Pelodiscus sinensis: one gene and its partner. The protein of the gene in region 1 purifies or fractionates together with the protein of each later gene. This does not show direct contact. Links are inferred from orthologs where the notes say so. Each region holds a gene or a part of one and is shown on either strand. Other genes may lie near its edges.

The links. The genes of interacting proteins can lie anywhere in the genome.
Region 2: the proteins of AP3M1 (region 1) and RABL6 purify together in Homo sapiens (co-immunoprecipitation; 3 studies listed by BioGRID and IntAct, counting the BioPlex papers as one, with this or other methods). This does not show direct contact. The link is inferred for Pelodiscus sinensis from reciprocal best matches to the Homo sapiens genes AP3M1 and RABL6.

Annotation. Positions count from the first base shown.
Region 1 is NC_134718.1:7,351,485-7,359,154, forward strand, and holds the start of AP3M1 (AP-3 complex subunit mu-1), read right to left. Parts: upstream 3,023-7,670; 5' UTR 3,004-3,022; coding exon 2,892-3,003; intron 2,844-2,891; exon of another isoform or gene 2,771-2,843; intron 2,752-2,770; exon of another isoform or gene 2,576-2,751; coding exon of another isoform or gene 2,464-2,575; intron 1-2,463. Other genes in the region: ADK (adenosine kinase), read left to right, coding at 3,283-3,344. UniProt on the Homo sapiens protein: Part of the AP-3 complex, an adaptor-related complex which is not clathrin-associated. The complex is associated with the Golgi region as well as more peripheral structures.
Region 2 is NC_134732.1:400,691-407,560, reverse strand, and holds the start of RABL6 (rab-like protein 6), read left to right. Parts: upstream 1-3,848; 5' UTR 3,849-4,114; coding exon 4,115-4,244; intron 4,245-6,870. Other genes in the region: CCDC183 (coiled-coil domain-containing protein 183), read left to right, coding at 473-601, 1,244-1,340, 1,558-1,694. UniProt on the Homo sapiens protein: May enhance cellular proliferation. May reduce growth inhibitory activity of CDKN2A.

The sequences.
Region 1 (7,670 bases):
AGCCCCAGAGAAACAACATATCATGCTGACTCTGTTCTTTTAATAAGCTAGAACAAGTAAGAGTAACACCTTTACATAGACAGAGGGGATGAAAGGCTTGCTGACACTTTAAAAATTAGCTCTCCTGAGAATCAGGGATAGTGTTTTCAACTCAACAGAAGTGGAGGGAAAAATAGTACATGGCAGGGAGGGAGGACAGATTGGCTGCTGACCAGACAAGAACATGGCTGCTTGCTGATACAAGTAACCATTAGTGTGAGCAGAACAGAGAAAAAGGATGGTCTTGTTAGTTAAGGTTCTGGGATTCAAGCAGTGTCAATTCCATTCCCCATCTTCTACATGCTTTTTGTATTTGTCATCTGAAGAAGTGGGTTGTGCCCATGAAAGCTCATGATACTAGCTGTATTTTTTGCTTAGTCTCTAAGGTGCTACATGACCATTAAAAAAAAAAAATTAGATACAGACCAAGGCAGCTACCCCTCTCAGCATTTGTGTGACTGTCAGCAAGTCACTTATCACCTCACTTCTGCATGTGTAATCAGTCATCCCCCCCCCCCTTTGTCTAGACTTAGACTGTAAGTTTATGGAGAAGCAATTTTCTCTTAACATCTGTACATTCCACTGAAGATTCAGTGGGTACCCACTGAAAGCTGGATCAGTAGGGCTACTGGAATGAAAAACAGATCAGTAACAGGAAAGGGACTAAGCACAGAGAAAGATGACTCTGAAGCTAGTTGAAACAAAATACAGGACCATGTAGCACTTTAAAAGACTAACAAGATGGTTTATTAGCTTTCGTGGGCCAGACCCACTTCCTCAGATCATATAGCGGAAGAAAATAGTCACAACCATATATACCAAAGGATACAATTACAATAAAAAAAAAAGAACACATATGAAAGGTAGTATTCAGGCTGAAGCTAGTATTCAGGCTGTGTGTCATGAGGGACTCTTACAGATTTTTTTTTTTTTGCACTGGTGCTATCACCGGTGAAAACTGCCCTGCTGGGAACCCTAATGATAGCAAGGTGCTCATGGAGCTTTTTTATCTCCATCAACAAACTCCCCACAATAAACCTCAACATGGTTCTGGAAAGGGCTGTTTAGAAACTGGAGCTGTGTATAATAACACTCCCAACATTAGTGCCATTAGACAGATTAGTAATTTTCCCCTGGAGTATACAAGAGCCACTTGAAATTAAGCTGCAGCACTTTTCAATACAGTTCAAACGCACCAATTACTGACAAATTATCAGCAAATGTTAAATTTCCTAACAGACAAAGCTTCAGAGAAACCAACTGTTACCAACAAACTATTATTCTGCTGTTAATAAACTGAAGGCAAGGCAACACCAAAAAGAAAAATATGCAATAAACCTAAATAAGCACATGACCTATTTTAATCCCCTTTCTATCTTCCTGTTCTCATGCCATTGCTCATCACCTATACACACAGAGGGGGAGAGAGAGAGAGACAGACACTAAAATCTTTTCAGGGCAGAGACATGTATTTAGTGATCCTATATCCTGCCTAGCAAACTTAGCTGCTTTATAAATAAACTCTTTCACCAAAGAGCTTGACATAATAGATCACTTTGCTTAATATGTTATATTTCCAGAATATCAAGATTGTGGATTGCAATATTCTTGAAAGATTGCTTCTATGAAATACGTGTGGGTGTGATGATTAGTGAATGGGTCAGTTTAAAAACTTTTAAATAAAAAAATCCAGACTATTAAAAGACTACAAGAATTTGCTTCTGTATGCACATTTACTTATTCAATTCAGACAACAAAACCAACATGCACAAAGCGCTGCAGTGACCCGTTAAGCACTCAGTGCAAACCAAAATGTACCCATCCCACATAAATCTAGTGTTTTCATTTCTAGCTTACTTATCAGAAATTTAAGTGTTAAGACATTAACCCCAAATTTTTGCGTTTATATAAAATATATAAACGTCTCCTGTTTTCATTCATAAATGGGAACCTAAATATGATAATGGTGATAGATATAAAAGTTAAACTGTAAAACAAGCCTATTCATGGGGAAAAGGTTTCATACAGAGATTAATGTATAGAGACTAGGAAGATTAGTAGCAATTCATTTTCTTTTACACCACGGAAAGCTTCCGGGATCCAAAGTTAAACTCATTTGCAGTTATAAAGACAGTTCTTACGAGTGAAATACAATCTGAAATCCTAAGACTCAGGACAGAGCAAATTAAAAACAGACTCCGATATTAGATCTCATTACGGCACACTTATGGAGGGGAGAAAGCAACAGCTCCATGGATTAAAATACATTCAAATGTTTTAAAGTGAAAGGAGTTAGTGAAACTGAAGTGGATCTCTGCTCGACTTCGGGCTGTTGAGAATTTTTTCAGTAAGTTTGACCAGTCAGGAGATATTACCCAGCCGGACTGGAACACCAGGAAACGACACACCAAAGATTGGAAATACCTTCGATTGCTCCCGAACCTTCCCTCCAGCGCAGGAGAACCCCGGACCCACCTCGGCACGCCTCGTTTGGGGGTGAAGACAGCCCAGATGCTATTGCTAAGCCCACGTGCATTGCACTCCACAGTTAGCCAGCCAGGCAATCAATTCTCACGGGCAGCAGCGCCCGGATCCCAGGGCTGCGTGCGGAACAATGGAGGGACCATGGATTTCTAGGGGATCCGAGCTAGCTGCCACCAGGCCTTTGTCATGCAACCCCCCCACCCCACAAGGAGAGCAGCCCCGAGTGGCGGGGCTAACACATATTCACCTGCAGCGCCCCGAGCCCCGCTTCCCCGCAGCACAGCGGCCCCTCTCCCCCCCGCCAGCCGTGGCAAATATGGCTGTGAGGACCCGGCCCGCCCCATGCCTCCGCCCCCAGCTGCACGCACAGGTGGCCGTGGGGCTGCCTCCAGCCGTGCGCAAACCGGGGCTCCGCGTAAGCCGCTTGCAGCCGCCCCCGGGGGCGAATGCGCTGGAGTCCTTTGATGATGATTTTTGCATGACGAAGCAGGGGCGGGGGGGACCCAAATGCCCAGGCGGGGCTGGTCCTGCAGCAGGAAAAGCGCCTGTTGCAACTGGTCCAGCCGGAGCCGCGTTATTTTCACAGCGGGCACCCGGCTCCTCTCCACGTCTCCATCAGGCGCGCGGAGGCCCACTCTGCCGCCCCCCCCCTGCTTCCCCTCCTCGGCTCCGCCTGCTGCCGGCCGCCTGTCGCCCTGGTTGGAAGCTGCTGCAAGAGGCTGCCGAGAAGCCCCGGGGCTGCGCTGCTAGAGCCTGAGCATGAAGATGGCAGCGGAGGAACCACAAGCCAAGAAGCTCAAGCTGGACCCCCCCCAGCTTAGGTAATTGGCGAGGGGCGAGGGAGAGACTCGGCTGCACCCCGGGGGGGAGCGGGCAGCACAGCATAAGGGCGAAGTGCAGCCTGAAAGTCAAGCCGGGAGAGGCGCAGAGGAGGGCGGAGCGCACGTGCGCCGGGGCTCTGGTGCGACTTGCGGGCACTCGGGCCGGGGTCTGGGGAGGGGACGTCGCCAGAGCGTGCGCCCAAAGGCATCTCGAAGGACTCAGCGTTGCTTTTGCGGTTGCACATTAGCGCAGCCGCCCTCTCTGATACTTGTGGATATTAGAGTTGCCGGCCGGCTTCTTTTCCTGCCTTCTTTTCTGCAACACGTGCACTGGGATAGGCTCAGGTGGCTTTGTAGGAGTTGAATTTGCTGCCATAGAATAGTGATAGAAATGTAGCCGTGTTAGTCTGGGGTAGCTGAAGCAAAATGCAGGACAATGTAGCACTTGAAAGACTAACAAGATGGTTTATTAGGTGACGAGCTTTCGTGGGCCAGACCCACTTCCTCAGATCAAATAGTGGAAGAAAATTGGCACAACCATATATACCAAAGGATACAATTAAAAAAAAAATGAACACATGTGACTTGTCCTTTTCATATTTGTTCATTTTTTTTAATTGTATCCTTTGGTATATATGGTTGTGACTATTTTCTTCCACTATTTGATCTGAGGAAGTGGGTCTGGCCCACGAAAGCTCATCATCTAATAAACCATCTTGTTAGTCTTTAAAGTGCTACATAGTCCTGCATTTTGCTTCAGCTGCCATAGAATGTGTGTGTGTCTGTGTTTTAAATACCCCCGGTACCGGAGATTGGGGAATGGAGTGACCTTTCCTCTTTCTGAACCCTAGGGAAGGTTGCTAGATTTAGGTCGCTCTTTGGGGGTGTTGTTTCTACCGACCCTCGACTCCAGTCCTTCATTGGATCACCATTGCACCTTAAAGTGTGCCGGTCCCGGAGGCAAATGTGAATCAACGGCAAATCGCAGCACAAGGAACAGAGAACTTGTTTGTTAGTGAGCAGTGGATTTGATCTTTCTGTACAACAGGGCAGGAGCTGGGGGTTTCCAGTATCTCTTCTGGCACGTGGTAGTATCATGCATCTTGCCTTGCCTGAGATCTTGTTCTGAATGCCAGGCATTTGGCAGTGTCATGTGCTCTGTGTGTGTGTGTGTGGGGGGGGGGATTATTACACTTTTCCTTCTGTCACTCATAGCCAGATTTTATCTAAAACCAGATGATGTCCCTACATAATGCTCTGAGTACGGACTGAGGCACTTCATAACGGCGCCTAGGTTCTTCCTAGCAGTTTGGAATATTGGGGACAGAGAGAAAATGGGATGGTTGCAAAATGCAGATCAGTAAGTACTAACAGTTCAGCAGACAGCTGTGAAAGGAACAGTGTCCTTTTGAGGAAGCTGACAGTAGGAGCCGCAGAGGAGGAAAAAAATGCAAGTCTGCACTAATTCATTCAGTGACAGCATGGATGCCGCTGCTGGGTGTCAGGAAGGACACACTGCTATTAAGCATCTGAAGTAACTTCCTCATAGATGCCTGGGAAGATATTTGACTACAGGTTGGCCCTCCCTGGTCTGGCACCCTCGGGACCTGACTGGTCCGCGGACAAAGAAGTTCGGTGAACCAAGGGAGGCCGGGGGAGGAGGGTATCAGCCTCCTTGCAGGGCTCCTGTCCCCAGCCACTGGCCCCTGCCAGCTCCAGCACCCCCACCAACTCCATGACACTACAGGCTCCAGCAGCCCCACTGGCTCTGCAGGTTCTGCTGCCTTGCTGGCTGCAGGCTTTGTCAGCTTTGCTCACCACTGGCTGCAGGCTCTGCTGCCCCATAGGCTCTATGGCCCTGCTGGCCTGCGAGTTCTGCTGCCCCACTGGCTAGCTTTGCTCCTAGCCACCAGCAATCTCTGCCGCTGGGGCGCTCTGGTCCAGCAACATCCCGTGGTCCAGTGTTGCCAGACCAGAGAGTCCTGGACCACAGAGGTTCAACCTGCAGAAGCTGAAAAAGGGCTTAGAGATCCCAAACTGGGAAGCACTATATAGACATGCAAAGTGTCATGATTATTATTAATACGATGCTTTAGGGAGAAAACCTATTTTAAGAGACTAAAGCTATCCAGTACAATGGCATTCCTTGCTTTGTATATATTCTGTTAGCACCCAGGAACCTCCAACTGTATTTGGCACTGGGTCCCTGACCCAAAATTTTTTTCCCATCCCAATGTGCTTTTCCTTGCCGCTCCCATAGCAGCAGAGGGCTTGGGAGTGGCAGGGGGCAGGGAGCCACATGTGCCCCCAGAAGCAGGGCACCAGGTAAGTGCTCCACCTCCATCCCCCTCTTGTCCAGAGCCCCAGTGCCCTCTGTGGGCTGGCCAAATCTTGAATCCAGCACACCCTGTTTTGCAGGGTTGCTGGATTAAAGAGGTTCAAGTGTAGTATGAATAGACAGGCAAAACAGGGTGGAGCTGGGTTGAAATGAGGATACAAAATGATAACTTTTACTAAAAAATAGAAATTTTAGCGTGCTGCTTGTTTAGTCATTGCTAAACAGAAGTGATTTGCAGGCATCAAGGCAGAGTGAAGTATTAAAGATGGATTTAAAGAAGATAAGATGGCAGCACTGCAAATTCTGGTGGGGAATTTCCCCATGCATGGGAGACTGCATGAGATGCTTGGTACCCAGTCAGGCCAGGGAATCTACTATCCTTGGCAGAACACAGGCCAATGACTCAATCCCATTATGAAATACAGGTTTAGGTGGTTAAGAATCGTTTTACCTTTCGGAAATCAGAAAGCCAAGTTAACAGCTATTTTTCTTGTTATTGTATAGGTCTGAATGTAGGGTTGAATACTTGTTGTTCTCAGTTGTACGTATGGGATATTTTGATTATGAATATCTCAGGTGTTTAAAAAATGAATAAAAGACAAGGATGAAGTGACAAGTTGGTGTGAGTTCAGGTTTCCCATTTGTTATTTAAACAGGATTTTGGAATGGTTTAAACTTCTAATTGATTTATGCAGAGCTTATTGTAGGACATTTAAAAAAACCCTCACTCATCCATAATGAGAGCTCCACAACACTAGCCAGATTTCAGTGTTAATTCAAATTATATACCAAGCATTGCTGCATGATACCGGAAATACTTTTTCTGTTATCTGAGGAAAATAAGTTAGTTCAATGTAGGGATGTAAAATTGCAATTAATCAACTGTTTAAATGAAATGTTTAACCAGTTAATCGTTTAACCAGTTAATCGTTATCCTGTGGGCAGGGTACTGCTCCAGCCTAGCCAGACTGGAGAGCCTCCCTTCTCTCCCCCCTCCCCCCCCGGTGATATATTGTGGTTGGTCCAACTGGTGTGGAGTACCCCCCCTTTTTTCCAGTATGCCCAAGATACAGTGGGGCCAGGACTTCCACTGCACTGTAGCTGGACAGAGTCCCACCTGGGCATGCAGGAGAGATGGCTGCTGGCGGGGTGGAGGGGGGGGTTGCCCAGCAGGGCCAGTAGGGCAGTGGGGTTGGTGGCAGGTGGTGGAGCCTTCTACTGGTTCAGCAAACTCCCTCATCCAGGACTAGTTAGGTGCCAGAGTAGGGAGGTCCAACCCATATTAAGTAAAGGTGCTTTAACACTGGGATGAGAACAGTCATGACAAAAAGTCACAGATGACCTATTCTTTCTAAGGGCTAATTTACACTGCCACTCTTCTGCGCTGTAACTTTCTCGCTAAGAGATTTTGACCCCTCCTGCCAGCCCTAGCACAGCAAATTACCATAATGTAAAGCACCAGTGTAAACAGGCTCCTGGTGCTGTTAGCTACTCCCCTTGTGAAGGTGTTTTATGTGGAGCTCTGGGAGAACTCTGTCCCAATGCTGGTACCATGACTACCCCAGACAAAACCCAAGTTAAGTTTGACATTTTTTGTGTCAGTGCATCTATTGGGGTACAGGCAGTCCCCGGGTTACGTACAAGATAGGGACTGTAGGTTTGTTCTTAAGTTGAATCTGTATGTAAGTGGGAACTGGCATCCAGATTCAGCCGCTGCTGAAACTGATCAGTTTCAACAGCGGCTGAATCTGGACACCAGTTCTGACTTACATACAGATTCAACTTAAGAACCCCAGGCATCCCCAAGTCAGCTGCTGCTGAAACTGATCAGCAGCTGATTCTAGGAAGCCCGGGGCAGAGCAACTCTGCCTCGGGCTTCCTGTAGTCAGCCGCTGGTCAGTTTCAGTAGCGGCTAACTTGGGGACGCCTGGGGCAGAGCAGCTGGGGTGCTGCCGGGTTGGTCCAGTAGCGCCAAGGAGCGGTGCTGC
Region 2 (6,870 bases), on another chromosome or scaffold:
GCAAGTTTTTCCGCAAAATCATCCATCACTGAAGATATTTAAGAGCAGGTTGGACAGAAATCTATAAGGGATGGTCTAAACAGTGCTTGGTCCTGCCGAGAGGGCAGGGGACTGGACTTGGTGACCTCTCAAGGTCCCTTCCAGTTCTAGTGTTCTCTGATTCTATGGCTGGAACTGGGTGGTAAATGCCACATTCTTTGTTTGGATAGGAATCCAACATGCGTTTGGAGCCAGATGCTAATTTAAACACCTCCTAGTCAGTATGGCTGCAAGTATGTGGGGAGAGGCACTTTATAAATGTCCCTCTGCTTAGCACCCAGCAGGCAATTCTCTAATTGCCAGGGCCTCTCATCCCCTGTCCTGAACCTCCTTGATGCTTATTCCCACTTGCTGGTTCCCACCTCAGAAACTGGCCCTGGAAGGAGTCTCTGGAAGTGGCACTATGTTTATTGCTTTGTCGCCTTGCCCCTAGGGTGACATTCGCGTGGACACCAGCGATGCGTATGACAAGCTGCAGTTCTGTGAGACGAAGCTGTTGCACTTGACAAAAGTCATGACCAACCTCCCATCCTACAACTTCAGCAGGGAGGAGAACAATGAGGTGTGCGGTTCCTCCCTGGCAGACCTGAACTGTCTCCTGAGAGGCTGGGCTTGGGCAACGGGATAGCCACACTGCTGCTGAAGCCCTCAGGCAGCAGGTCTCCTCTCCCTAGAGCCCGGAGGAGGCCCCAGAACACACGTGCTGATGGGTTGGAAATGCCTAAACTTTACCCAGCCAAAGGGGTTGCCCTGGTACCTGGCCAGGAGCCCCCAGGCATATTGCAGCTGCCCTCATCTTTCTTTTTTTTTTTTTAATGAATGTACAGGCCCCTGCTGAGCAGCATCTGAGCAAAGTGCAGTAAAAATAGTGCAAACCAGGGAAATCAAGAACAACTATCTAAGCAACCAGAGACTGTCTCCCAGCCTTGGTTTGCACTATTGTGAATGCAGAAGCCTGCCAGGTTTAATGGGGCTTTATACCCAAATTAGATCACCTCTCCTGGGTGACAGAATAAAGTTAGCCACATGGTCTGAGATGGAATTACACTCCTTGCACCTCCGCAGATAGGCACCACATTTAGCATGCTAGCTTAGTCCTGGAGCTGGAAATGATCTCTTCTGTTGGAAATGCAGACCTACTCTTCCCATTCTCATTTCCCCTCCCCTCACCTATGCAGTATTTAACCTGAAGTGTTTTTTACAGACCTATGTAAAAGTTAGGAATTTCCTGGAGGAAAGTACAAGGAAAGAGCGCCAGAACCTGAAGATTTCTTTTGAGGATGAAGAAGATGCTGTTAGAGGTATGAAGGCCTTGGAATTGGGTGGGCACTGTGGACTTGTAGTTAGAAGGAGGATCCCAGCCAGCTTCTGGAGGGAGTTTTCAACAACATTGTCAATGGCCTCTCCACCAAAGACACCATGAGCCCAAATACAGGTGACCTGTGCTGGGGATTTAGCCCCCATTTGTCACATGACACAGTTTCCCAGCCTGCTGTAGTAGGCTTTGTTCTTTTGCAGATGCCTTTGATTTTGCTGACATTGACCACAGCTATGTGCCAAGCCGAGAAGAGATAAAAAAGCAGGGTGCGCGCCTGATTGAAACCATGACCAAGGCTGCCAAGAAGAAGCAACGCGGAGGCAGGAAAGGCACCTAAATCACTAGGCCGCGGCCTCACTCCAAAAGTAACTTTATTTCAGACTCAATAAAGGACTTCATTTTCCTTGACTGGCCTCATGCTGCCCAGGCCCACTCAGTACCCTGAAAAACTGGGCGCTTGGGCTGATGAGGGACAAATCCTGCCAGGGTGCTCAGTGAGGTTGCCATCTTTGAAATGCAAAAATAAAAGAAAAAGCCCTTTCAAGGCAAGCCCTCCACAACCCCAACTTCAAGAACAAGGCAACTTGGCAACAGCTCCTTACAGTCTAGATCAGGGCTACTCCACTTTGGAAGCCCCAGGGGCCACATGATACTCTTGTGTCTTTCAATGCTCACTCTGCCTGAGAGATGCCTTGCTGTTGTGGAGCGTGTTCCCATTGGAGGTCATGTTCAAGGGATTTCCACCTGTAGGCCGTGTGTTCAGCCCCATGTAAACCCAAACTGCACCGTGGGCTGCAGGGCCGCATCTTGAGTAGCCCTGCTCTAGATAGAGAACACACATGCGGGGCTGCTAGCATACATGTGGGGGATAGAGAACACATATGTGGGGCTGTGAGCATACATGTGGGGGATAGAGAACACACATGTGGGGCTGCTAGCATACATGTGGGGGATAGAGAACACACATTCGGGGCTGTGAGCATCCATGTGGGGGATAGAGAACACACATGCGGGGCTGCTAGCATACATGTGGGGGATAGAGAACACACATGCGGGGCTGCGAGCATGCATGTGGGGGATAGAGAACACACGCGGGGCTGCGAGCATGCATGTGGGGGATAGAGAACACACATGCGGGGCTGCGAGCATGCATGTGGGGGATAGAGAACACACATGCGGGGCTGCTAGCATGCATGTGGGGGATAGAGAACACACATGTGGGGCTGCGAGCATACATGTGGGGGATAGAGAACACACATGCGGGGCTGCGAGCATGCATGTGGGGGATAGAGAACACACATGCGGGGCTGCTAGCATACATGTGGGGGATAGAGAACACACATGCGGGGCTGTGAGCATCCATGTGGGGGATAGAGAACACACATGCGGGGCTGCTAGCATCCATGTGGGGATAGAGAACACACATGCGGGGCTGTGAGCATCCATGTGGGGGACAGAGAACACACATGCGGGGCTGCGAGCATCCATGTGGGGGATAGAGAACACACATGCGGGGCTGCGAGCATGCATGTGGGGGATAGAGAACACACATGCGGGGCTGTGAGCATGCATGTGGGGGATAGAGAACACACATGCGGGGCTGCGAGCATCCATGTGGGGGATAGAGAACACACATGCGGGGCTGCGAGCATCCATGTGGGGGACAGAGAACACACATGCGGGGCTGCGAGCATCCATGTGGGGGATAGAGAACACACATGCGGGGCTGCGAGCATGCATGTGGGGGATAGAGAACACACATGCGGGGCTGCGAGCATGCATGTGGGGGATAGAGAACACACATGCGGGGCTGTGAGCATCCATGTGGGGGATAGAGAACACACATGCGGGGCTGTGAGCATGCATGTGGGGGATAGAGAACACACATGCGAGGCTGTGAGCATGCATGTGGGGGATAGAGAACACACATGCGGGGCTGTGAGCATGCATGTGGGGGATAGAGAACACACATGCGGGGCTGTGAGCATGCATGTGGGGGATAGAGAACACACATGCGAGGCTGTGAGCATGCATGTGGGGGATAGAGAACACACATGCGGGGCTGTGAGCATGCATGTGGGGGATAGAGAACACACATGCGGGGCTGTGAGCATGCATGTGGGGCAGACAGGTGTTTTCCACAGGTTTGATCTGTTACCACTTATGCTGCAGAAGCGGGACCAGGGCGGCCTGTGGCCAGACTGGCTTTGCACCAGCTGTCCCAGCGGCCTGTGATAATCATGCCAGTGCACGGAGCTGCGCTGACAACTCCAGCAGACTCAACTGGTTTTCTGGCAAAGCCCAGCCAGGCCTGGGCCGTGTGGGAGCAGGCCCTGGCTCAGGGCGCCAGCCCGGCCCGCGGACGCCCCTGCCCGCCGGCTGGATGTGGGCCGGGCCGGCTGCCAAAGGGGAAGGGCTGGCTCGGCCGGCGGGCGCGCGCCACTGTCACTCTCTTGTCCCGCGCGCGGCGCCGTAGCTACGCGGCGCGCCTGCGCGCCTCCCTCTAGAAGCGAAGGGACCAAGATGGCGGCGGCGCGGGGGGGCTGAGCGACTCCTCTCACCTCAGCGGGTGGCGGCGCCGGCCGGGGCTGAGCCCGGCCCAGAGGAGCCGTCGGCAGCGTCGAGACCCCGCCTCGCCGCCCTCTGCCCCGGGCTCCTCCCGCCTGCGCGGGGCTCTTCGGCGCCCATGGCCACGTAAGCCCGGCCGCAGCCTGTCAGCGGGCGGGAGGCGCCTGCCCCGGGGCGGGCGGCGGGAAGATGTTCTCGGCCCTGAAGAAGCTGGTGGGCTCGGACCAGGCTCCCGGCCGCGACAAGAACATCCCTGCCGGGCTGCAGTCCATGAACCAGGCCCTGCAGCGCCGCTTCGCCAAGGGGGTGCAGTACAACAGTGAGTAGCGCGGCTCGCCCGCCTCGTATGCGGCCTCTCAAGCCCGCTCCCGCCCTGGCGAAGGCTTGTGCCGTGATACGCGTTTGGTCTCTACAGTGCTGCAGGGCTCTGGCTGAGCTTGCGCAGAAACTCTTTAGCGCGGTTCTTGCCTTAAAGGAGTTGCAAGAGAGCGTCCACACTGGCTTGTGCGTGTGCACAGGAGCATCCGTGCCAGCGTAGCCGCTCTCTTGCGCAAGAAAGCTCCAATGGCCATTTTAACCATCGCGCTTTCTTGTGCAAAAATTCATGTTGCCTGTCTACATTGGCCTCTTGCACAAGAATAGTTGTGCAAAAGGGCTTATTCCTGAGCTGGAGCGTCAGAGTTCTGGTGCAAGAAGCCCTGATTTCATACATTAGAACATCAGTTTACTTGCGCAAGAACACGCGGCCAGTGTAGACAGGCAGCAAGTTTTTGCGCAAGATCCCACCAGTGTAGACACAGCTCTTGTTTCTGTCCCCGGAACAGTTTGTTTTGACATTACATAGTCACATTATGTTCAGGAGCTGGAGAGATAGGAAAGACCTCTTGTTTGAAAAATAGAGAACTCAGAGTTGTAATGCTTGTTTAAAAAACTTTCCCCATATTAGGGGCTGGGGGGGTTCTGAATGCCTGCATCCCCCCTCCCCAGGACATCCCAAGCTTTATTGGAAGGTACAGGAGGAGTACAATGCTTCCTAATCTCAGTCCATTAAAGTTCTTTTCTTCCATCCCTTCACCACCAATATTTGGATGCTGCATCCCAGAAAACTAGTATTTTCCCATCAAGCATTAGTAGCTGTTTTCCACAATAGTCACTTAATGACATTCTACCATGCTAAATGTTAATGAAAGGTGAAGAAGGTGCCATATTTAGTTTTATTAGGTCAGTTATTCTCATGTTAGATATCTGTTTATGCACAGGTAAATTTTTTTAGAATTCTTTGCATTTTAATGAATGTTTTCCAGTGGGCAATAGTAGCATCTCTTATTCCCAATGAGAAAATATATCTTGAGACTCAGAGGGCCACCATAAGTAGGTGAAGTACATGCATAAGTAATAATTGTGACAGGGCAGTGTCTCAGAAACTTTTTACTTAAGTAATCCACCAACTATATTTTGTCTCCTTTTGTGACCTACCCAAGGGCTGAAAAGCATAAGTTGTCAGTATCTTCCACTGCTGTTGCTTTCTCCTTACCCTGTTGAGGCTGTAGCATTGACCACTCATAGCAACCATCTACCCTCACAATGCAACCATAATTCCTGTGTAGAGAAGAGGCCCTTCAGGTGCATTTGAGACTAAGCCTGTTTCACACTCACCTGTACAGCAGCAGTCACTGTCCTATGGGACTGGACCTAGCTCTCTGCTCCAGGCATTGTGACCTGCTGCATGATTGCGGCACTATTCAGGAGTGGCCCAGCTGTGGAGGGGTAGCTGGGCCAAACCTAAGTTGTGCTGCAGTGCCTTGCATCACGTCACAATGCTCAGAATAGGAAACTGTTCTCAACCCTGTAGGACAGGAGCCACCACTGTGAGGTGATGAGCCACTGTTAATCACCACAGGCTCCCTCTACAGCCCCTTCCCCCTCCACACCAGGCCTGCAACCAGGGAAGTAAGAGTTAGAGATGTAAAGGGTTAACCAGTTATCCAGTAAGCATTAATCTTACTGGCATGCTTACTGGGGTAACAAGTTAACTGGCAGCCCAGCCAGGTCAGAGCAGACCTTGCCCACAGCATGATGTGTTGGGCCCAGCCCGGTATGAGCAGCCCCCTGCATGTGCCACAGGGTCCCGATTAATCTTAACATTTAACTGGTTAGCCTTTTAAATGTGATTTTTACATCCCTAGTAAAAGTTTTAACTGGTTAATCGATAAGCTGATGCTTATTGGTTTCTGTTAACGGTTAAACTTTGCTAGGGCTCCAAGAGAGGGGTTGGCAGCCGGGACCTTGTGCACATTGGGATGCTGCCAGCGGCAAAGCCTGCAGCACAGGGCTGGCTGCCACGACCTCGCTGGCAGCAGAGCCCACGGCACAGGGACAGCAGCCTGGATCCTGGAAGTGAGGGCACCCTTAGGTCCCCAGGTAAACTGTTTAACCATGTAACTGATAGAATTTTGATCCATTACACAGTTACTATTTTTGCACATTTTTTACATCTCTACGTGCAACCTATCTAAACCCTCTATGACTCATAGGTGGGTTGAGACCTTTTGGGAAACCCTGACATTAGGTGATAATTACATGATCCATTATGAAAATAGAGAGACAACCGCACAGTAAGTACTAACTCATCTGTGTGGATCTGGGTAGGTAGAATGTAGAAGGCTTGAGAGGAGATCAGCAGTGTGGAATAATAGATCTGCTTTGTAAATGTTGGGCTCAGTTTTTTGCGCATGTGTGTGCATTTGAGGAGATGAGAGGGAATAGAACCCATATCACATCTTAATTAAAGCCATAGATGAGGAGAAAGGAGAGACTAACATTAGAAATGTAGAAAAGTTGGTCAGCAGGGCTTTCGAACTGGTGTGTGCATTTCTGTGTTATACCACAGGAGTATTTGGTTTACATTTGTTAGGCATAGCAAGAATAGTGTGTAATTTTAGAAT